4 linked regions of the Arabidopsis thaliana genome follow. The protein of the gene in region 2 interacts with the protein of the main gene of each other region in a pairwise test. Each region holds a gene or a part of one and is shown on either strand. Other genes may lie near its edges. The genes, in order: AT5G15040, NAC050, ZR3 and SNL3.

What was found.
Region 1: the proteins of NAC050 (region 2) and AT5G15040 interact in a two-hybrid assay, tested with the Arabidopsis thaliana proteins (one large-scale study listed by BioGRID).
Region 3: the proteins of NAC050 (region 2) and ZR3 interact in a two-hybrid assay, tested with the Arabidopsis thaliana proteins (one large-scale study listed by BioGRID).
Region 4: the proteins of NAC050 (region 2) and SNL3 interact in a two-hybrid assay, tested with the Arabidopsis thaliana proteins (one large-scale study listed by BioGRID).

What each region holds. Positions count from the first base shown.
Region 1 is NC_003076.8:4,868,825-4,872,824, forward strand, and holds AT5G15040 (Paired amphipathic helix (PAH2) superfamily protein), read right to left. Parts: upstream 1,918-4,000; 5' UTR 1,665-1,917; intron 1,452-1,664; 5' UTR 1,430-1,451; coding exon 1,323-1,429; intron 1,241-1,322; coding exon 1,084-1,240; 3' UTR 930-1,083; downstream 1-929. Other genes in the region: AT5G15030 (paired amphipathic helix Sin3-like protein), read right to left, coding at 1-19, 200-219; AT5G15050 (Core-2/I-branching beta-1,6-N-acetylglucosaminyltransferase family protein), read right to left, coding at 2,996-3,510, 3,670-3,785, 3,869-3,944.
Region 2 is NC_003074.8:3,261,946-3,267,645, reverse strand, and holds NAC050 (NAC domain containing protein 50), read right to left. Parts: upstream 3,299-5,700; 5' UTR 3,237-3,298; coding exon 3,017-3,236; intron 2,827-3,016; coding exon 2,797-2,826; intron 2,716-2,796; coding exon 2,647-2,715; intron 2,543-2,646; coding exon 2,265-2,542; intron 2,174-2,264; coding exon 1,988-2,173; intron 1,845-1,987; coding exon 1,753-1,844; intron 1,642-1,752; coding exon 1,596-1,641; intron 1,525-1,595; coding exon 865-1,524; 3' UTR 556-864; downstream 1-555. UniProt on the Arabidopsis thaliana protein: Transcriptional repressor that binds to the motif 5'-(C/T)A(C/A)G-3' in the promoter of target genes. Also binds to the 5'-CTTGNNNNNCAAG-3' consensus sequence in chromatin.
Region 3 is NC_003074.8:20,308,562-20,312,764, reverse strand, and holds ZR3 (Zim17-type zinc finger protein), read right to left. Parts: upstream 2,497-4,203; 5' UTR 2,412-2,496; coding exon 2,243-2,411; intron 1,616-2,242; coding exon 1,113-1,615; 3' UTR 911-1,112; downstream 1-910. Other genes in the region: AT3G54830 (Transmembrane amino acid transporter family protein), read left to right, coding at 1-11, 133-196, 288-410, 483-526, 618-693, 782-864.
Region 4 is NC_003070.9:8,564,278-8,572,414, forward strand, and holds the start of SNL3 (SIN3-like 3), read right to left. Parts: upstream 6,260-8,137; 5' UTR 6,102-6,259; intron 5,672-6,101; 5' UTR 5,651-5,671; coding exon 5,511-5,650; intron 5,425-5,510; coding exon 5,238-5,424; intron 5,152-5,237; coding exon 5,053-5,151; intron 4,977-5,052; coding exon 4,842-4,976; intron 4,753-4,841; coding exon 4,458-4,752; intron 4,361-4,457; coding exon 4,230-4,360; intron 4,152-4,229; coding exon 4,076-4,151; intron 3,988-4,075; coding exon 3,958-3,987; coding exon of another isoform or gene 3,933-3,957; intron 3,788-3,932; coding exon 3,573-3,787; intron 3,480-3,572; coding exon 3,325-3,479; intron 3,188-3,324; coding exon 3,060-3,187; intron 2,948-3,059; coding exon 2,693-2,947; intron 2,617-2,692; coding exon 1,972-2,616; intron 1,878-1,971; coding exon 1,792-1,877; intron 1,551-1,791; coding exon 939-1,550; intron 837-938; coding exon 736-836; intron 648-735; coding exon 509-647; intron 418-508; coding exon 265-417; and 3 more. Other genes in the region: AT1G24200 (Paired amphipathic helix (PAH2) superfamily protein), read right to left, coding at 6,896-7,000, 7,354-7,422, 7,502-7,600, 7,686-7,863, 7,961-8,100. UniProt on the Arabidopsis thaliana protein: Acts as a transcriptional repressor. Interacts with ERF7 to repress genes in abscisic acid and drought stress responses. The heterodimer represses transcription by tethering SNL3 to DNA.

The sequences.
Region 1 (4,000 bases), on a different chromosome or scaffold from region 2:
ATCAACAATTAGAGAGATTCTACAGGGAAAAGTAAAAAACAGTTAACGCTTTATATAATTAAAAAAAAAGATATGAAACAAATCAATCAGATCTTTGAAGTGAGAGCATAATCGAGAATATGAAACGAATCAATCAGATCTTTGAAGTAAAGCATAATCGAGAATAAGAAACACTTCAATCACCGAAGATTATGCATACGTTATGAAATATCCAGGCATTTCCGATGAAGCGTTGCGACTTGTGATGAGAATAGTGCAAAAATCAGGAATGACGAACGAGATATAAATAAAGGCGCCAAATGGTGCCATCTCTTCGTAACTTATTTGGGCCTATAATAAATAATGGGCTTTTATAGGCCGTAGTTAGGCCTTATTTAAGTATTCATCTCGCTATTCTTATTTTCTTTGTTTTAATATTTGACTTTTTGGATATTTTTGGTTACATTTGATCAGCAAATACAGCAACAATATGATGGAGAGAAATCTTTGTGATTTTTAGTATTTGTAACATCATACTGTAGAACCAATGTGATCATAGTGTAAGGCTATATATATAAAGAGGCCTTTTTTCATCCCTGAAGTTCTGTAGAATATGCTCTCTCTTTTATTTGACAGCTAAAAAATAAACATTAATAAAAAGGAATAAAATCGTTTTCACTTTTTTTTTGAATTGTTATTGTATCAGTTGATGAGAAAATACTGCAACGATATGATGAAGAAATTCTTAATGATTTTTAGTATTTGTAACAATCAAACTATGATCTCAATATAGTTCTTTTTTCAATCTATGATTTTAACTTCTCGTTAGAATATTACAAATTTCATATATACTTCAGTTTTTTTTTTCATTAAGAATAAAAAATAATAAGTAGATAATAATGCTTTTGCCGAAGGTCAAATTAAGTAAATAAAGAAATTAAGTGGACGTAAAGAAGATAGCAAAAGGTCAAACTTTATCATAGTGAAATTCCTACATGCATGGCAAAGCAAAGATACTCGATAAACCATCAAGAACTGAATAGAGAGACTAATTTAGAGATTTTGATCGTATCATTTGAGTAGAAAAAATATGACAAGATAATTTCAATAGTTTCTTGCAGTCGAGCTAAAAGAGTCTTCTACGTCATCATCAAGAGCTATCTTGTATCCAGTTGGCAAAAAGGTGTTAAATCCGATAATCAATTCGTTGTGCTCCTTGAACAACTCTTTCAATTGAGCAAACGCAGTATGACGACCAATCCTGTGAATGCAAGAAATTCTTTGAGCAAACTCATCAAAACCTTAAGGCTAAACCAAAAAAAAAAAAAAAGCAATCATCTTACCTTCGTGCCTTCAAATCTAACAAAATATTCTTGAACATATCATATTTTTCAATTTGATCATGAAACGTATCTTTCACTTCCATAAAGTATGCCCTACATTCAGCCATAATGTCTCTTCTTCTTCCATGCCTGCACCAAAACCCAAAGAACAATAGAGACAGACATTATAACATGTTCCTACACATTCACGTAATAAAGAAAACTAACAATTCGCCCACAAGCCAAAAGAGGAATTCAGAGAGTCGCAAGTTTTGAAAGTTTACAGTTATCTTTAGACAAGCAACAAGTAGCCCAAAAACAACCCACGATAGCACCAACACACTTAAAGATTAGGAAACTAACCTTCGAGACCTTGGAACGTTTATTGCATCAGGAGTCCGCTTGGAACGTTTATTGCATCAGGGATAAACAAAAGATAAACAATTAGAGAGGTTACTTGGAAAGATATGAAACAAATCAATCAGATCTTTGAAGCGAGAGCAGAATCTAGAAGAAGAAACACTTCCATCACCGACGATTATACATACATGTACCAGAAAATGTTCTAGGCAGATACGATTAAGCGTTGCGACTTGTGATGAGAAGAGACCCAAATCACAACGCATGACAAACAAATTATAAATAAAGGCGCCAAATGGTGCCGTACGTTTCTCTTCGTAACGTCGTTGGGCCTAAATTAATAATGGGCTTTTATAGGTCGAGGTTAGGCCTTATTGTAAGTATTCATCTGCATTTCTTCTTTGTTTTATATTTACTAATATGGATATTTTGTTACAGTTTCAGTTGATGAGCAAATACTGCCACAATTGGTCCGTATATGAAACCGTGACTGAGAATTTTAGACCAAACTCTGTTCTCAATTGTTTATTTGTCAGTATTCGATATGGATTCTTGTTAGAAATATAAATATATTTTTGCTTCTGCTATTTTTGTGACATTTTAATGAAATATATATTTAATGTTATGTGACAGCTTTGAATGAGAGCCATTATATATATTTTTGTGACATTTTACTATGTTCATTTGATAAGCTTCTTGCTTCTGCTATGATGATTTTTTGAATAAATTTTACATGTCAGACTTTTAGAGATTTTTGTTTATCATTAAGAATCTTTGATAATAAAAAATCAGAGCAGAAGTAATATAATCTTGACTTCTTGAGTAATATAATATTTCCAAAACATTTGATAAATCAAATTCAAACCAAATCTTTGCCACCAGTCAGTCACATGGAATGAGTAGTGACCATCAATAGGCCCTCATGTAATTTGCACTTAGTCACATGGGTGTATATCTATAAATTTAAAACAACAATATCAATGTGAGTTATTGAATCATGTATCAAATTAATTCAAAAGCAATAATATCAATGAAACACCTATATGTTAGTCACAATAGTCAGGTAACTTCATCATGCAAACAATAAAAAGGACATGACTAATATGTGACAAACCTATAAAATTGGTATCAAGTTGGAAAAGGCCAAACTTTAGGTCGGCAATAGAAGACAAATTCCAATAATCAATGATCTTTCCCGAAATTTCTGCACTTTCTCAAATGAAGAAAGTCCAAAAAGATCTCTATACAACCATATCAAAGTATCGGATAATCAATACAGTTCATTTGTGTGAAAAACCACGTAACCATCTCTATGACAAAACTCTAATTTGCCATTACCGGCATTGCCGTGGTCTGAAATTCTCAGTAGATAACAAATAAGTTATGAGTTTCTCGATCCGTTTAGCTCCAAGACCAGGTTTAATAACCGACGTATCACCAATCACCGCACACGGATCGCTCCCGTTTTCCCTCGTACCAATACACCAACCACCCGGAGTGACCATCCCGTGACTCCGAAACAATAGTTCCGAATCAATCTTATCGAGAACAGGCTCATCTCTACGGAATTTCCTAGCAAAAGGAGCGTTACTGTCCACCATTCTCTGGAAATCATCTAATGTAAGATGGTGAGGATGTTGCTTTGGAGGATTGTCCCATGAGATGAAATGTAAGTCACTGTTAACCGTTGTGTTGGTAAACTCTCGAGCATTGCAAATCACAGTGTGGAAGTAACCTTCTGGCGATGAAAGGAAGTTTGCGTAATACATTAACACAATTCGAGGAAGATTATCCCATCCCCATATGAAATAATCCACAAAAGGTCTAGATAACATCATCCACGCAGATCCTATTAACCAACAACATCAAAAAACCATTAGAGCCTAAGAATTGTTATATCACATCAATGAGTGTAACAAGGATCCTACATTTAAGGAAGACTCTACATTTAGACATTCCCATTATGTTGATTACCCAAAACAGGAAAGATTATGAAAAATGAAAGCACCTGTGAAGAGTTTGAAAGCTGTAGGCATACTTCTCTTCTGTGAAACCCAGAAAACATCAGCTTTCTTTGACATATACAAACCAGGATCAATAATTATAGGCTTTGCTCTATGAGACCTATACAAGTTTTTACCAAAATTATCAGAGAAAGTTGCCAAAAACAAACTGTTGTAGATTGTAATGTAGCTAGCTAAACTCACTCTTTCCAGCCAATGTTGCTTGTATGATCGATGAAATTGAGATCTCGAGGAAGATACGAAAACGTATGCAACAGATCTGAAAATCGAATCGACATAATAAACCTCAAATGATTCAATTAAAACAATAAACAG
Region 2 (5,700 bases):
CAATCATTCAGGGTTCCGTGTGGAAAAAAAAAAGACAGGTTCCGTATAATAGGACGATGTAGTTAAAAGTAAAATATAAACACCAAACTCTATAACACCTACGAAATTCCATTGCCTAGTAAGATATGAAACCATTTCGAAAATACGTCTGTGATCAAAACTTCTTCTTGAAAACTTAATGGGAGAGAGATGGAATCCAGGCTTGAATCGTACCAAGCGCTTTTCGCTTTTAGAGAAAAAACAAATAATTGCAAATTACGTGTAACAAAAGTCTTCTAACGTCGTTGACGGAACCACATTCCTAAATCGTAACGCTGAATTAGTCAATGACGATTATACCCTCAATCATTTCCACTAATCACGACTTTACCTAAGAAGCTCTCTTCCCTGTGGACTGTGGAGACAGTCACACAGAAACATCAAGCAACAGAGTGGTTCTTGTCCGGAAGACCAGAAGGTCATTTCAAATGACAATGACGATTATGCCCTCATATCTGACCACTAATGATTACCCCAAGGAAAAAGCTTTCTTTATGGAGACTGAACATTTCTTGAGAGGAAACCAAACAAAAGCGAGTTCTTGTCTGAAAAGACTAGATAGATAGATGATAATATACGACAATGGATCAGCCTGAAAATGTTCCCAAAAGATGCAGAAACATCCAAAGTAAAAAAGGATAAAATAAAAAGACCTAGTTGGTTGGCTCCGTTCCGTTTTATCCTAATTTTACAACAGAGATTCATAAGGTTTCTGATCCGTCTGAAGAAGCTACATCCATAGCTCATACTATTAAGAAGATTACAGCTAAGAGGCAAAGAAGAAGAAGAAGAAGAAGAAGACACCTGGAGAGATGTTGCGGTGGTTTAACTAGCTTGTCCACTGGCGTTCTTCTTCTTAAGTTCCTCGTTCTCCTGACGCAGCGCATCGATTCTTGACTGGAGAATGCTGATCATAGCCTCTGCACTCATCATCTCAAGCTTGAAAGTTTCTCTTTCAACAGACATCTGGTGAACCTCCTTCTGGAGATCATTAACCTTCTCTTCAGGAGATGCAATTGGACTAGGAGGAGAAGTTTCCTCTTTCTGCTGGTTTTCTTTCTTGTCGGAGATACCCATAAGTGAGAACTCAAGCAATGCAGAGATGGCAGTGTTGGTAGCAGCAGCAGCAGATGATGAGATTAAGGTGGTTGTATTGTCGACGGTTGTTATTGTGGACGAACAATGGTCCTGTGTGTTCCTGCTTGAGTTGTTGTTGGACTCGTTTTGGCGTCTACGTTTGTATTGCAGGAGAGGTAGTGGAGCTTCTTTGTTGAGAATGCATAGAGAAGGAGGACGCTCATCTTCTTCTGCGTGCTCGCGTTTGAGTGTGTCCTCATCTTCTTCATAACCACTATGGTTGTTACTCTCCTGTGGCTTGAAGGCACTCTCATGATGATTCTGTTGGTTAGGTTCGATGTCCATTGGAGTAGCATCTCTCGGTAGCTCGTTGATGTTAATGAGATCCTTGCTTGCTGAATGCATTTCCTACAACAAATTACAAGTTATGTGAACCCCAACAGACATAAAATATCTCAAACCAAAACGCGTTGATCGACTTTGCAGATTAACCAAAACACAATAAATATTTCTCTTGTTGAGCACCTTTAATGCCAAACGAAGATTGTAAGTCTGAAATATCATGTAATCAAAGGATAAATCTCAAAGAAAAAGGACCATAAAGAAAAATTAGATATCTTGTGAATCAAGAGAGACCTTTCATTAGATAAAGCTGTAAGGTTGAGCTGAGTTCTACAAAAGGTGATAGCAAACTTAATGGAATTGTGCAGTTTAAGTAAATCAGCCCACTGAAACAGCACTTAGAGAAGCAAAGAGCTTTTGCAATAAGAAATATAATATCTTGTGAATCAAGAGAGATGATTCACATTAGAGGGATGTATCACAGAGGTTATGCATATAAGAAACATTTGAGTATAAAGAAAGTACAAACCTGGTCCATCTGGTTGTTTCCATTGGCTTGTGGTAGAGCCTCTACCCTGACCCTAACGTCTATTCCTGGAATCAGAGCTCCTCCACCATCAGCCCATTCTTCTTCCATGAATGGCGCATATCTGTTCCCACTTGGTGGCCCAATGTTATTCTTGTGAAACACTCTGCACAACACATATGCATCCTGCTGCACCCAGACAAAGAAGTAAGATAAGATAGGATTCTTACAAAATGAGATAACCCCAATTCAAAAGTAACTCTTTTGGACAACATAATACCAGCAGGCTTCCGTTAGTTTCAGTTTCATATTCCACAAGGCGATACTCGTGCATGACCCAATTAGTCCGAAGGCCGTCTGGAGCACGCCCGCTGTGGAAAACAAGCGTCTTTTTCATACCGAGCAACTGAATATCCCGGCGGATTTCTCTGTCTTTTCCAGTTGCTTTCCAGTACCCTTTGTTAGTTGCTCGATTCATCCTAGCACCATTACCGTACTTCTTATCTAACGCACTGAAGAAGTACCATTCTTGGTCCCGAGTTTTCAACTTCGAAAACACTGAAACACACAACACATCACAAGGTTTTTTTTCTTTCAGATCATACTTGAGAACACTTCAGATAGCCAAACACACAAGCAACAAACTTCATTTCCTGATCCACAAGCAAACATAACTGTAGCACAAGCAAACATAACTGTAGCACAAGCAAACACGAAATTCTTAAAGCAATCTGAAGAAAATTCGACTTTCTTCAGTTAAGAAGTCAATTGGATGGAATGTCTTCACAGTGTTAAAGCCTAATTGCCTAAACTTAGCGCCAGGTACGAACAGAGAATCTTCTCTGCAACAAAAAATTTCCCAGAAAACGAATCGGAGCACGTAAAAGCTAAACTCATTTCCCAGAATTGAGCCAGAAGACGGAACAACCAATAAGCCCAGGCGACAAAAATCCCAAATCAGAAGCATCAAATTCACAGAAACCCCCAAATCATAGAGATAAGCAGAAATGAAGAAGAAGAAACCTAACGAACCTGCTAAATCCCAGGGCTCATGCTTGTAGATATCTACCTCTCCAATCGCATCGAAGCGTACAGGTTTACCCAGAACCTTCCTCTTCAAGTAATAGCTCACGAGTTCCTCATCAGTCGGATGAAATCGAAAGCCAGGAGCAAGCGAGGTAGCCGACACAGCAGTACTGGGCGCAGTCGCCGATGGCGGCGAGGACACAACAGCCAGAGATTCGCGACCCATAAAAAGAAAAAAAAAAGACCGTATTTGTTTCTAGGTTTTCTTCTCAATTTTTTCAGACAAACCAGAAATATAGTTGTCAAAATGTTTTTTTTAATATGAAACCAGACAAACCAGAAAAAGAGAAGCAGGTACCTTCAATTGCAAGAAATTTGCTTTCTTTTCGAGTTCCTAGAAGGCTAGAAAAAAAGTAATTTCGGATTGCGATTACTATTTTTCATTTTCAATTTTAATAATAATTTCTCATTTTTGAGTGTTGCAGTAATAAAACCCTAAAAAATGTTACTGCTTAGCTTTTTGTTGTCGTTCTATGCAGTAAAATAAAGGAACCACTAGTCCTAGTGTGTGGTCTGAAAAGTAAGTATCCAACGATAAATATTTTTTAAAAAGTAATATGTTAGACAGATGATGAAAAAAATAATGAAAAATTAAATATTGCTTATGTGATTAATAACTCTTTTTAAAAGGTAAAGTATTTTTTTAAAAGATTAGAGTTTATTTGTTTCCTTTAATGTTAAATGCATTGTATACATCTTTAGTATAAAAATCTTATATTGTATTTGATAAATTATTGTAGTTCAAAGATTTACAAACGCTAGGATAAATAGAAAATAATCTGGTTGGAAAATATGTAATGGTTTTGTGCTTATCAAAAGTTAAATGCTGACATGTACAGTAAAACCTCTATAAATTAATAACTTCTACAAATTAATAAATTATTAAGATTCCAAAAACTAGTATAAAAAGTGATATATATCGATAGATTAATAAGATAATAATTATTTTGAATGTTCTATGTAAATATATGGTCTCATTAATATCATAAATTAATAATTATATAAAAGTATCAACTATGTATATTTATTATATGTAAAAATATTCTTTAAAATTTATTTTTAATATTTTTTTGCTTAAATTTGTATTATTTTTGTTTGAAATTCAGTTCTAATAGTTTTACTATATCAAAAAATTTTGGTATTATTTTCTATACATGAAGTTGACCAAAAAAGAAGAATTAATGAGAATAAGATAGAAGGTGAAAGAAAATAAAAAAGGAGTGACAGATACGTTTGCTTGCAGGAGGATACTTTACCAATAAGGCAAGCTAAAGGGGAGGAGAGACTTGGTCCACACGAATCATCATCTTTCCCATTTTCTGTTACTATTTATTATTCTTCTTTTCTCTATTTATTTTCTAGTACAAGTCCTCTTCAAATTTGTAATTCGTAGTTTGGTTTTCGTTTAAACCATTTGCAATTCTCAAATATAAACATTAACTACGATTTGAACTTGAATAATTTACTTGTGGGGTTTGTATTACTGTTTAAGTCAAGGTGACAAAGACAAAAGGTTACTTTCTTCTCTCTTTTTTTCATCTTCTAGTAAAATGGAATATTTAAAACAATATTATTCGACATGTTGAATTTTGTTGCTGTCGACATTTCGATATTGAAATTCTATATAATTATGGTGTACGGGGGTGGAATTGATGAGGCGTACCAGAAAACTATATGATATTTTTGCACTATTTTCTTCTTTTTTGGTACGCTATGTCTCTTGTCTCTTATGCTTTGTATGCGTAACTAATTCGAAGGCAGAAATTAAAACGAAAAATATCCAACTCTTACTTTTACACATATTATTATGAAACTAATAAAGAAAGTAAGAGTAAAAGAAAACTCTATTTTATTTATTTATTTATATAGGTTGTCAGCTATCTGACACCACTGTCTCCAAAAAGGACAAAATGCTAAAATATCAAGACTTTTTTTTTTGGCTCAAAAAAAATATATGGTTTGTGCCTCGTGTTTAAGCAATGGGCCAAATTTCTTCTAAGTTAGAATATTAAAAGCCCATGATTTATTTGTAGCCCATTTCGGTGACGGACGGGTGTAAATCAAGCCCATGCTAATTTATTCTTCTTTTTCTTATTTTCATAAACGCAGTTTCTCGTATCGAGACTAGAACAACATGCATTCGTCTTCACGAATGAAACACTGAATCTTGAAGAGCTGAGAATAGTGTGTTATGAAATTTCAATTCCGGTAACAGGTTGCATATTTCAGGGTAAGATTTGTGATCCGTTGCAAAGTATATCCATAATAAGATATGTGACATTAATAAACAAAATATATAAAAGCATAAATTAAGGGCATAATACATTGCATTTTGATCTCTCGCTCTCGACCTGCTATTTCAATGTCAACATGAACAAGTAATCTGTTTAAATTGCAAATTTAACCAAAAAAAAGAGTTGGACCCGTCACGCTCTTTTCATGAGCTTTATTTTCTTAAAAGGTTTGAGCTTTTTTTTTTTCCAATCCAAAAAAAAAAAAACATTCTTTAACTAAAAGTATACATGAACGTGACATAAGTTTTTAGAAAATGATTTGAATGGATCAACTGAAAATAATAGTATAGAGAAATTTTTTATTTCTATGTATTTTAGTTGATTCATTTAAATATA
Region 3 (4,203 bases), about 17 Mb from region 2:
TGTGGACTACAGTAAGTTTTTTTTTTTCACCCTTCCTCTGCTTATTACATGAAAGTTGGGATGATTTTCACTAAATTTGGTAGCTAGCCAGGTGAGGTCATCTAAGAGTTTTTTTCCTTGCCTTTTTTGCAGGTTGTTAATCCATTTACCAAATATCCTTTATCAAGAAATATTCAGAGACTTTTCATTTATCTCTGTAATTTTGTCATAAGCTTATTCATAATATAAACTGAAAATTGTGTGGCCTTAATAGAAAGAAAGCACATATGCTTTGACATTATCTCCAGTTGCAATGAGTCTTGAGGAGTTAATACCATCAAACTATGGGAAGTCACGTTTCTACGCAATCGCCATTAGAAGTGCATTAGCCATCTCTACTCTGCTCGTTGGTCTTGCGATTCCCTTCTTCGGTAAGGACAAACGAAAAATATACATGTAAAGAAAATAAGTGTCACTTCTTTTGACACTCAGAATTCTTGCAGGCCTTGTCATGTCACTGATTGGATCATTCTTGACAATGCTCATTGTAAGTTACACATTTGTTTCATCCTTTTCTGGTTATGTAAAGCAAATTCTCATATTGCAGTTTCATAGTGAATTTGCTTAGCCTGACAAAGTTTCTGGACACAGACGCTGATACTACCGCCAGCTTGTTTCTTGAGCATCTTAAGGAAAAAAGTAACCCCTACTCAGGTATGGCCTGCTCACTTACTGATAACCAAACCGAATATCGAAATTCCTCAAACTGAAATCGATATAACAATCTGTGGTTTGTTTGCAGGTGACAATCTGTATCTTAATTATGACAGTAGGAGCAGTATGTTCAGTCATTGGCACATATTCAGCCCTTGCAAAGATCATTGAGAAGTTGAACACCTAAAACTGATCAATCTTGAGATTCTTATTTTGTTTCTCTTGAGATTTTGTTTCTGTCTTAAATCAATGGAACATCTCAACCTATATGGAACATTCCAAACACATAATTGTATTAAACATCTTCTGCATTTAAATGTTACCAAACAGTGAACTACAAGAAACAATTATAATACTGGAACATAAGGTGAAGTTCTGTTCCATAATGGTTAAGTAGCAAAAGCAAAGAAGATCACTCCTTATTCAGTAGAAATCTTTCCTCCAGCTAAATCTTCAGGAGTTAGGTTAAGAGAATCCATGGATCCTTTCTTGAATTCTTCCCCTTGAGAAGCAAGGAAGTCCTCCACGCTTCCTGGTTCTCCAAACCAACCACGACGGTCTGCAATCAAATGTAGATTATCACACCCTCCACATCGTACCACCACAACGCCGTTTTCATATGATTCTCGGCTCGCCATCTTCATAGATCTTGTATCACAGACCTTGCAAGTGAAGACCATCATGAAGTCATGCCTCGGGTTTATTTTTAACTGGGACTTGTACTTCACCATCATTTCCTCAGAGGGCGTCGCAGGGGAGGGAACTTTGGCCGATTCAGTAGCAGAGTTTGACGAGTTGCAGACATTGGTTACAGAAGCTTCATTTGCCTCACGGATTACAGATAACTGTCTCTGAAATAATCTTCCATAAACATGACTTCTGCTGAAGAGTGAGTTTGATAGCGACAACTGCTCTGTTGAGACTATTTTCAAAAAAAAAAAGATAATCAAGAAAGATCAATTTAACAGTAGTTGTAGTTGCACGAAGCTAAAACAGTCTGTACCATAACAGGACATCATAGGAACCTCCTAGGATAATGTTTGCATCAAACCGTAGACTAATGCTAACACATCTTAGTCAGGAAATATATAACCAAACTTGAAAACTTAACCAGCGTCTAGCTGAAATGCCAATGTTCACAGCTACTGCTTAATGCATAGAGATATGTTGAAGACAAAGCACTTATGTGAGCATTCATAACTTCAGGTTTCGTAGAAGCACTTCTCTAACTCCAAAATGTAACAGAGCAAAGACGATATTAGATGATATACACATGAGAATACGAGTACTCATCATCACTAATGCCCCAAATCTCTAAAAGCTACAAAAACAACCCTAAAACCAAAATCTCCCCAAAATCCTCTTCTAGTGTAAATTCAAACATAAAAACCACAAATTTACATGAATCTCAACCAAATTCATCAAAAGAAACATCAAGGCAAGTATAAATTACACAGATTAAGAGACCAGTTTAACTCTAGTGCCCGATTTTCAATAACTCTTTAATTTTTCTTAAAGATGACAAAGTTGAGAAGGAGAGAGATGAAACCTTGAGACAAAGGAAAACGATGTTGTTGGTTGCTGAAAAGAGACAAAGCGCGTCTCAAAGCAAGTAACCTAGCGGCCATTGACAACCTGAGGGAGAGGAGGAACTCGACGCTTCTATTTTCCGTGAAATTTTGGAATCGGAGCACAATAAAAGAAGCCTTTTTAATCATTAGAGTTAGTTTTCGTTATGGTCAAGTCAAAATCTAAACCCAGGTTCGAACCACTGAGTGAGCCACAAGTAGACCGACCTTTTTCTTCTTTTTTTTACGTGAGGAAAAAGAAATTTGTGAATTGAAATCTTATCTAGAAAAGAAAAAAGAAAAAAAAAATCAGAACAAGCAGGAGAATAATGTGTGTGATACAGGATATTGAGTAAGGCCACGTGGACGGCTGTGATTAGAAGATCAATGGACGGCTGTGATTCAAATTAAGTGTGCGTAGAGCTGAAGCTAATAAATATCAAGTGTCATCGTATTTTCATGTTATCGTTGAAGTTGTTGTTATTCCTTTCTCTCTGAAAACATTCCGAGATTCATCCTCTGCATAGAACGTCGATTCTTGCGAGGTGAATCCAGAAATCCCTTGTTTTATGAACATTGGATTTCATTTGTTATTTACATCGTAATAATAAGTAATCGGAGTTGTTGATGATTGCTTTGGTTGATTGATTGTGTTGTGGTGTGGTTTTACTGTATTAAAGGTATCAGAGCAAAGACGTTTCTCGGAGATGGTGATCGAGACTCGAGCTCAGGAGTTAGCTCAAGCTCGTCGAGAGAAGGCGTTAGAAGCAGAGGAATCGATGGAGTCACAGATGGAGAAGATCGAGAGCAAGATCGATGCTCAAAATCTGAAGATCGAGCGCCATATCTCGGAGATGTTTGAGGCGATCCACATGCTGTCTCCATCTAAGCAGTCAAATCTGGGTGAGACTCATCAAACAGCTCGTGCTTCATCCGCTTCAGCAACAGACGTGGATTACATGAGAAGGCAAGGTCACGCTAACAATCATTCGGGAGTAACAAGGTTAGGGAAGTTGGATTTTCCCAGATTCAGTGGTGAGAAGGTTAAGGAATGGTTGTTTAAGGTTGATCAATTTTTTGCGGTGGATCCTATACCTGAAGAGATGCGAGTGTCTGTAGTTTCTATTCATTTGGATGGTCTGGCTGCTACTTGGCACCAGAATATGATTGAGGATGAAGTGCAGGTTCCTGAGTGGGGTGTGTACAAAGCTAGGATCAGGGAGAGGTTTGAGATGGTTGGAGAGGATCCTATTGCTGAGCTGAAGAAGTTGCAGGAAACAGCTGCTAGCATTGATGACTATCACGCAAAGTTTGAGGCGATCCGGACTCGAGTAAGGATGACGGAGGATTATTTAGTGAGTGCGTATTTGGTTGGGTTAAGGATTGAGACACAGATGCATATCCGAATGTTTCAACCCCAAACGGTGCGGCAGTGTTTGATGTTGGGACGTCTCTATGAAACTGCTCATCCTGTGCAGAACAATGCGACTTCTTGGAAGAACAATAAGGCTACTTCAAAGGGCCAGTTCTCCTTTAAGAAAGACATGGAGCAGCAGGGCAATAAACCAGCGTTTCAGGAAAAACCAAGAGACACACAACAAAATCAGCCAAGGCGGTTCTTATCTACTGAAGAGATGAGTGCTAGGAGAGCTAAAGGATTGTGTTATTTTTGTGATGAACAATACACATCTGAACATTATAAGATTCACAAGAAAACACAATTGTTTGTTTTGGAAATGGAAGATGCTGAGGAAGTGTTCTTGGATGCAGAAGAAGAGCATAAGGAGTTAGTTGGGGAAGTAGCTCATATCTCAACTCATGCTATGGAGGGTATCTCAACTTACAACACTATGCGAGTTAAGGGTACAAGTCAGAAGAGATCCATTTTTATGTTGGTTGATTCGGGTTCCACTCACAATTTTATGGATCCTCAAATGGCAAA
Region 4 (8,137 bases), on a different chromosome or scaffold from region 2:
TTACCTATTTAAATAGATTCTGCGATCCTCCCTTGCATTTGGTTGTATGGAGAGGAAGTCATTGTGGAGATAAGCTGCAAAGGTCGGGTCAATGGATACAGATGTCACATCGGGCTTATCAAGACCGTTGCACATAAGCTGAATAGAGAGTTTCGCTGGGGTTGATAATCTCTGCATACACATGAGGTTTTGGAGTCCAAAAGCATGATCAGCAGTGCATCGACAGAATATAAGTAGCTAATGTAAGATGCAGCAAAAACTTACACATTCAATACGGTAAATATTCTCATCAGGGAGGAGGACACGGGTATTATCGTAATACACAGCATCAAAAATCGTTTCAGGCCTTCTGGATTTCTCATAAAAATAAAGCTGAAGAAGCTTGTTGTCCATCTCATCAGCTACTACTACTTGTAGCTGAAGAATGACCACACGTATGTTAGTAAAAAGCAAGTAAAGATAGAGAGGTGAATACATAGAGAAAACATCAAAGAGCAAAAATACTCACATGCTTGATGAATTTATGGATCAGTTTGTCCAATGTGAAGAGAATATAAGACTGAGTCCCGATTATCGCTCGGCAGTCATCTTCAAACTTGGCATTATCAGATGTACCATCAAGTAAGTTGTAGAGTGCAGTCATGAATCTGTTCCACATTAATTAAAGTTATAAGTATGGAGCACATATGAATCCCAGAAACACACACAATCTCTGCAATAAAAAGCAAATTTCACCTAGCATAGGAATCAGTAGGATTTTTGGTATTTGAGGTCCTCCACTTTCCTTCCGGGGATGATGAGTTAACTTTTGCTGATAGTATTCTCTCATACAATATCTGTCAAGAGTAATAGCGTAAAGTTAGCTAGTGAAAACTCTTTGTACTTTAGATTATACTGTTTATAATTTTTTCAAACTGTATATGATCTTTAGCTCTTACCCGGTGCAGCCTGAAAAGCACGTAAAACGAATCATTTCCATAGAAAACTTGGGAGTTCTTCAGAGAGTCTTTGTCCTTGTCATGCAAAGCTATAGCTGAAGGAACATACTTTACTAAGGGCTTTACATGCAGCAAGAATCGTGCTGAAACGGGTAAGGCAGACCCATTTTCTTCAGCATCATGTGCATCAGCCATACATTCAGCCTCACCTTCGCTTTCTCCTTTGTTATTGTTATCCAAATCATCCTCCGGATCTTCACCACCACCAGATTCCGTTCCAGAAACATCACCGTTCTCATATTCATTTCTGCTGTCCTCTGATGATCTTGCGGCGTTTTCGTCACCTTCAGCGTCATTCTCAGCCCTTGTCTCCAGACAAGATGGTTCCCCTTCTCTACTTCTATCTCCGCTAATGTTATTTCCAGTACTATCATTCGCTTTGCTGAAGGTCTCAAAATCAGTTTTTGCATAAACTGCAAAATTATCTTCCTCAAAGTCTCCATTTGGAGAAAGTTCACCTTCTTCTCTTTCAACTTTGGATGTTCCTGCCATCTCTTGGTCACTTGTTATTTCTACCGCGATCCCATTTGTCAATAACTTCTTGTTACCAACCTGTGAGACAAAGTTTATCAGTACCACCTCTTGGTTAACACAGAACTAAGGGTGTGTAACTTCAAATTTTAAAACTATCTAAGTTCCATATGAAGGACCTAAGCACCAAGTGCAAACAATGGGAGATATTGTTCCATATCAACAAAATTCGGTCCTTCATTTGAAATGAGTCATCTATATAGAAAGTATCAGATCAAAATATAAGATGATGGGACTAAAACGTGCTTCACTGAAACTATACCTCTAATTTTGGCCCATTACCATCATTCATTTTCAACTCCAACTCTGTTCCACAGGTCACAGGCTTCAGATTATTATTGCAATGTCCTGACCAAGTAAAGAGGAAACTATTCATTAACTGTACAAAGAAAATGAAAAATTCCAAGAGAACTAACTTCTAAGCAAGATTTTGAGGTGTTACCGGTCATGTGTACTATACTGCTTCCTCCATTACTTTGATCTAATAATCCATCCACAGCGAGAGCAGTTGAATCGTGTGCACGCTCAATAGAAACAGCTTGCTTGCTTTCAGGCTTTTCATCAGACGTAACTACATTCTTCAGCATTTTCTCATGCTGAGCAGTCTCACATAAGGCATCTGATGTCCTACCAGCGGCGCCATCCCTCTCCGAATTACTAGTTTGCCCCAACTGACTATGTTCATTAGCTTTTCGAGATGACTTTGAGCGTCTAGAGTCGGCAACACTAGCGTAATTGTGAGGACTTCCCTCACTCTCGCCAGCACTTGAACTACCGCTCTTTACATTCTGGTTCATGGACTTGACAACGTCTTCTTGGTCTTCAGCACCTTGAGGGCGAGAAGGAACACCAAATATTTGTTCCACGAAAGTTGTCCAAATCTTCATTACCTTATCTAACTGTTCGGTAGAGCACATTTCTGCACACGAATATTTGATCAGCTGGTAAAGATCTTCATGAAGGTCATGATCCGGATAATCAAACTCCAAATCTGGGGAAATGGATAGTCTATTTCCGGCTGCAAATGCAAGAAGTGAATCATCCTCTCGCTTCTTTTCAGTAATCTCTTTTATCTCTGCCAACAATGCTACAGAAAAAATATAGTACATAAAGTCACTTGCTTGATATAATAGAATAATGTGTGTAATAGGTTACGGACAAACCTTTCATGCTCAGCTTCTTTGAATCCTGCTGTTTGAAGTAGAAACTTCGATGATCAAGCGACTTGTAGTAATTCTTAGCATATATCTCAGCCCAGACTTTGTCAAAATCAGAACGACACCTTGCCCACTCTTCTTGCTTCTGTTTCAAACGTGTTAGGATAACAGGTAAAGCAAGAGACACGTTCTTCTTCAGCACATCCATCACATCGAGCCCGTGATCACCATACAACCGTTCTATGCATCTTAAGTTTAGAGCTACAAAGACAGTAACAAAGCAATCCATTAAAAAAAAAAAAAAATTTAAAGAGCTCAGCTGCTAGTGATTTAACATCCATGCTGCTTATTGTTTTACACCAGCTTATGTTACCTGTGAGGTGATCCTCGACACGGATGGGACTGTTGGTTTTCAGTTCATTACTGTTAATTTTTGTCAATAATTCTTCCACATGCTTTGTCGTTGAATTTACAGACTCTAATAGCATGTCCAGCTCAAACCTATAGCATAAAGAGAGGAATAATGGCTCACAATTTGACACAGAAAATGGCTCACAATAACAGGTCAGTAACCAATTTTTTTTTTTAAAGTATGGAATATAGGTTTCCAGTCCACCATTAGAAGTTGATTAACCAACCTGTCATCCTCACATTTGAAGAGGCTCTCTTCATACTGGTTCTTACGCATGTGGCTAAATGAATAATCTTCACTTCCTGATGTGACGGAGACCCAGTGATCATTAAGAACCAGTTTACCGATCTCTGTCTTCTGGCTTGCAATAGAAATTGGGTACTGCAAAAAGTATAATGTCTTACATTAGACTAATGAAACAAAAGATGAACTCAAGAATAGTAGATCCACATATAAAAGGCTGCAGCCACATACATTCTTTGGAAGTAACCGATAACTAGGAGTGCATTGTTCACAGTTCGAGAGATCTAGTTCACTGATTGGCTTTGCCCATTTCAGATTTGCAGCTGCTTTTTCAAGCCTTTCCTTTTCATGATCTCTATCTCTAAGCCCGTCATCTCTCTTATGTTCCTGGTCTCTATCATTGTCCAGTGACGGTTGAGGATATTTGCCTTCACTCCACAAGGATTCTGCAGTATAGTTTAGAATGGATTTGTTTTCTTTTCAGAACTAGAAATGGATATATCTGGAAAGAAGATCAAATTTCATAGTGGAGTTGTGTAGTTTCACTACTCGTGAATACTTCAAATATATCTCAGCATCAGATTCATGTACCCTTGCAAAAGATAAGTAGACTTACTCTTAGTCAGAATACCAGAGAGCAGTCCTTCTGCAAGAAGATTCAAAAGGTTACAAATCTGTCTTTTTTCTGAAATCAATGAATGTAGGAAGAGAGAAACATAGATTTGCCTCGTTACCATTCTTTTCACATTGCACCAAAAACTCTATAAAGGAATCCATGAGGTCAGGATATACTCCGATTAAATTCCCTACCTGATACAAGCACAAATGTTCATGAATCATTGCAAACAAATGCCACAGTGAAAATTTAAGCATTTTATTTATTCATACCAAAGATTGCAGTTCTGGTCGGCTGATTATCTCTTTTGAAAAGAGATTAAGACAACGTAAAAACTCCTGGTACTCTGAGGCGTTAAGCTTTTCCTTTACTCTATCGACAATAGCTAGATCTTGACTGTAACCTGACATCACATCAAACAAATATAAGTACACATGGAATAGCGAACGACAAACTCACTCCTTATCTTTCAAATTAGTTGTCATAAAACGAGAACTCACTTTTCATGGCACCTTTTTCATCATAAGTAGATGAACTAGGAACCGCTCCAGAAAGTTTACTTTGATTGGAAATTTCAGCAGGATCATCGCCTCTAATATGTAGTTTCTGCTTCTTGTTGAGAAATTGCTCTTTTTTGCTATGTGGTTCGAAATCTCTGGCATCCCTATGCTCATTTTCTTTGTTAGTACCTCTCATGTGTTCTTTATTTTCTTTCTTAATAGGTCTCTCCCGGTCCTGGTCAATATGTTCAGTACCATAGTCATGGTCAGGATGTGGAGTAATGATCCGGTCCTTCTGCAACAATTTCCAATCAAATGATGTTCAATAAAAGATTAGACATATAGAACATTGTATTTCTAGGAAAATAAAAGTCTGAGAAGAACCTTATCAGCCAGAGAAACCCCTCTCTCACGAACTGAAGTTTTAACAGATGGAATAGAGGCCGTTGCTGAAGTATCAGGTAGAAAGTGAGTAAACTCCACGAGCAGATCTGAATGATCCCGAAATAGGATCGCAACCTGAGATAGACATGTAAAACCTAAGTACAGAATAGCAACAAAAAAAAGATACACATAACAGCATCAATGAGCCTACCTCCTGGTAGACCTCAGTGATGGACTTGCTATCCCTTCTGTACATGTTTAAAATGTCTAAAAATGATTTGTATACACGATCATCTCCCTGAAACCTTGTCTGCAAATCAATGAATATCGAAGAGAGTAAGAAAGGGAAAAGCAGTAATTTCCTTGAGACAGTTTAGCACATAAACATATATATACCTTAATCTTGTTAACAAAGCTAATAGCTTCCTCAAACTCAACACGTTTCTTCAGTGGAGGTTGTCCATCCTCAGGTTGAAGTGTGATCTCAAAACCCTTAGGCAAGAAAGTATTAAACCCCAAAATCAACTCTTGGTGTCCTTTGAAAAGTTCTTTTACCCTAGTTATCACACCAGCTGTATCAACTCTACAATGAAAAACACAATTAAGCAATCAGTTCTCAGATACCAAGTTTTTAACCTAAACATAACAAGGAGAAGAAAAAAACTATACCTTTGAGATTTAAAATTCTTCATAACCTCGAGAAACTCGTCATATTTTCCACGTTGATCCTGAAATTTGTCCTTCACGGCTTTAAGATATGCAAGAGCGTCGTTTGTAGTTAGCTTCTGAGCACTTCCTCCTCCAACCATGGTGTTTGAAGTTGAACAGAGCTTCATTACCATTAAAAAAAACAGATCATTTAGAAAGCTATTCAACATCTCATAAGACCAAAGAACGTTTCTTTAGAGAATTCAAGTAAAATTTGGGATTCAGCAAAAGAACAAAAGCTGAAAACAACTTTCTTCATGTTCATCTACAAATCAAAACCTAGTAAAACTCAAAATCAATCACATAAACAAGGAAAATTCAAAGAACCGAACTTGAATTTCATCCCAATAAGCAACACCTGTAGATCTAGCAGCTACAGAAACAATTTATGAAGAAAAAACAAAAGGAGACGGACCAGAAAAAATCGATCTTAACTTAATCCTCAGATTATTTCACATTCAGTTCACGATTAAAATTGTAATACCCAAAAATCAAACAGAAAGGATAAAAAACGAAAGAAGATCATCATCGTTTATGTGTTAGAGAGTTTACCGAAGAAATTCAGAGAAGACGAAGAAGAAGAAGAAGAAGAAGTCTAGAAGAAGAAGCTTCCTCCGACGAAACAGCTGAGAAGACAAAAACTATTCAACAATTTTCAGACAGAAAGAAAAGACTCACTGAGCAAACGAGAGTTTTATGTTTTTATGAAGAAAGGATTGAGATTTCTCTCAAAGGAGTTTTACGTCTTCTTAAGTAAATTAAAATCTACATATTTAATACACTTTCTCGTTCGCTAAATTTTTCGTTTACTTACTTATTTCATTTTTCTGTTGACAAAAAATAAAATAAAAATCAAAGTTGTATTTTCTTGTTTTTATTACTTCCTTTTGTTGGTTGTATCATTTTAGGAGACTTATAATTTATCTTCTTCTTTTATTATTTTTAACATTTTTTTTCTTTTGGAAGTTTTTATCTCCTTTGGTATGTGAGAGAGACATACTTAATTTTGAAAATTTTTGATATAAAATAAATTATTCATTTTTTTTGGAAATAATTTTGTAATTAAAAAGTTTTAGATGATTAATCATATTATTAATAGATGTTTTTTTTCTCTTTATTTTGGTCAACATAGATGTTTTTTCTTAAAATTTCTAAGTTAATTACTTAATGCAAAACCTATCAAAATTATTAATGGGGAAAAAATGTTCTAAAATCATTGATGTAAATGGAATCTATATTACATTACACGGTTAGATTTTGCTTAAATCTAAAAAATAATATTTGGCTAACATTAATAGAAGAATAATTTAACTCTAACTTGATTAAAACCATAAAAACGGAACATATTATTCGCCTTTTAAATTCATTTTTTTTTTATCGGCATTACTATCTTTCCGGTAGACCGAAAACTTTGTCACCTTGTTCGTAGAATAATTCCGATAACCCTTATCCTCATGTTACACATAGTAAACTCATAGGTAAGCATTGAAATAACTAGGTAAAAAAAAAAGCATTGAATAACTATAGATGATGGTAATTTTGAATTTTGATAGTGGCTATAATTTATAGGGAAAAGAAAGCTATTAATCATGCATATTAAAAAGAAAAAACCTCTACTATTATCTCTGACTTGTAACTTTAAAAAAAAAAAACTACTTATATGTGAAGCGATTGAAGTAACATAGCAATCCTTTCGTCACAAAAAACTCTGAGAAATAGTTGGCAGAAAGCAATCCAACTCTTCAAGCAAATCAGGATGATCTATGCAAAACTGTGAATGCAACAAGGCTGTTGCTGGAGTAGCTGGAGTAGCAGGCAGAAAGTGAGTAAACTCCACAAGCAAATTGTTATGATCTAGAAATAGGATGGCAACCTGATAAGATAAACGTGTGAAACTAAGTAAAATATTAGCAATAAAAAAAAAAAAACTTAGTATGAATCAATGAGCCTACCTCCCGGTAGACCGCGGTGATGGGCTTCCTATCCTTTCTGTACATGTTTAAAATGTCTAAAACTGATTTGTATACACGATCATCGCCCTGAAACCTTGTCTGCAAATGAATGAATAACTAAGAGAGTAGGAAAGGGAAAAGCAGTAATTTCCTTGGACAGTTTATAACACATAAACATATATACCTTAATCTTGTTAATAAAACTAATTGCTTCCCCTAACTCGACAGGTTTCTTCTGTGAAGGTTGTTCATGATGTGTGATCATATAACCATTTGGTAAGAAGGCATTGAAACCCAAAAGTAATCCTTGTTGTTCTTTCAAGAGTTCTTTCATCCTTATTATAACACCAGATATATCAATTCTATACAACACAATAGTCGGTAATCAGTTCTCAGAAACCATGGAGTTTTACCTAAACCAAGACCAAATGCAAACATAAAAGTAGAAAGAACTTTAACCTCTGAGTTTTATAATCTATCATGATCTGAAGAAACTCGTCATATTTTTCACGTTGACCTTGAAATTTAGCCTTCACGGCTCTAAGGTATTTAAGCGCGTCATTTGTAGTAGGCTTGTGTGCGCCTCCTTCTCCAACCATGGTTTGAAGTTTAGGAAAGCTTTATTGTTCAAAGAGA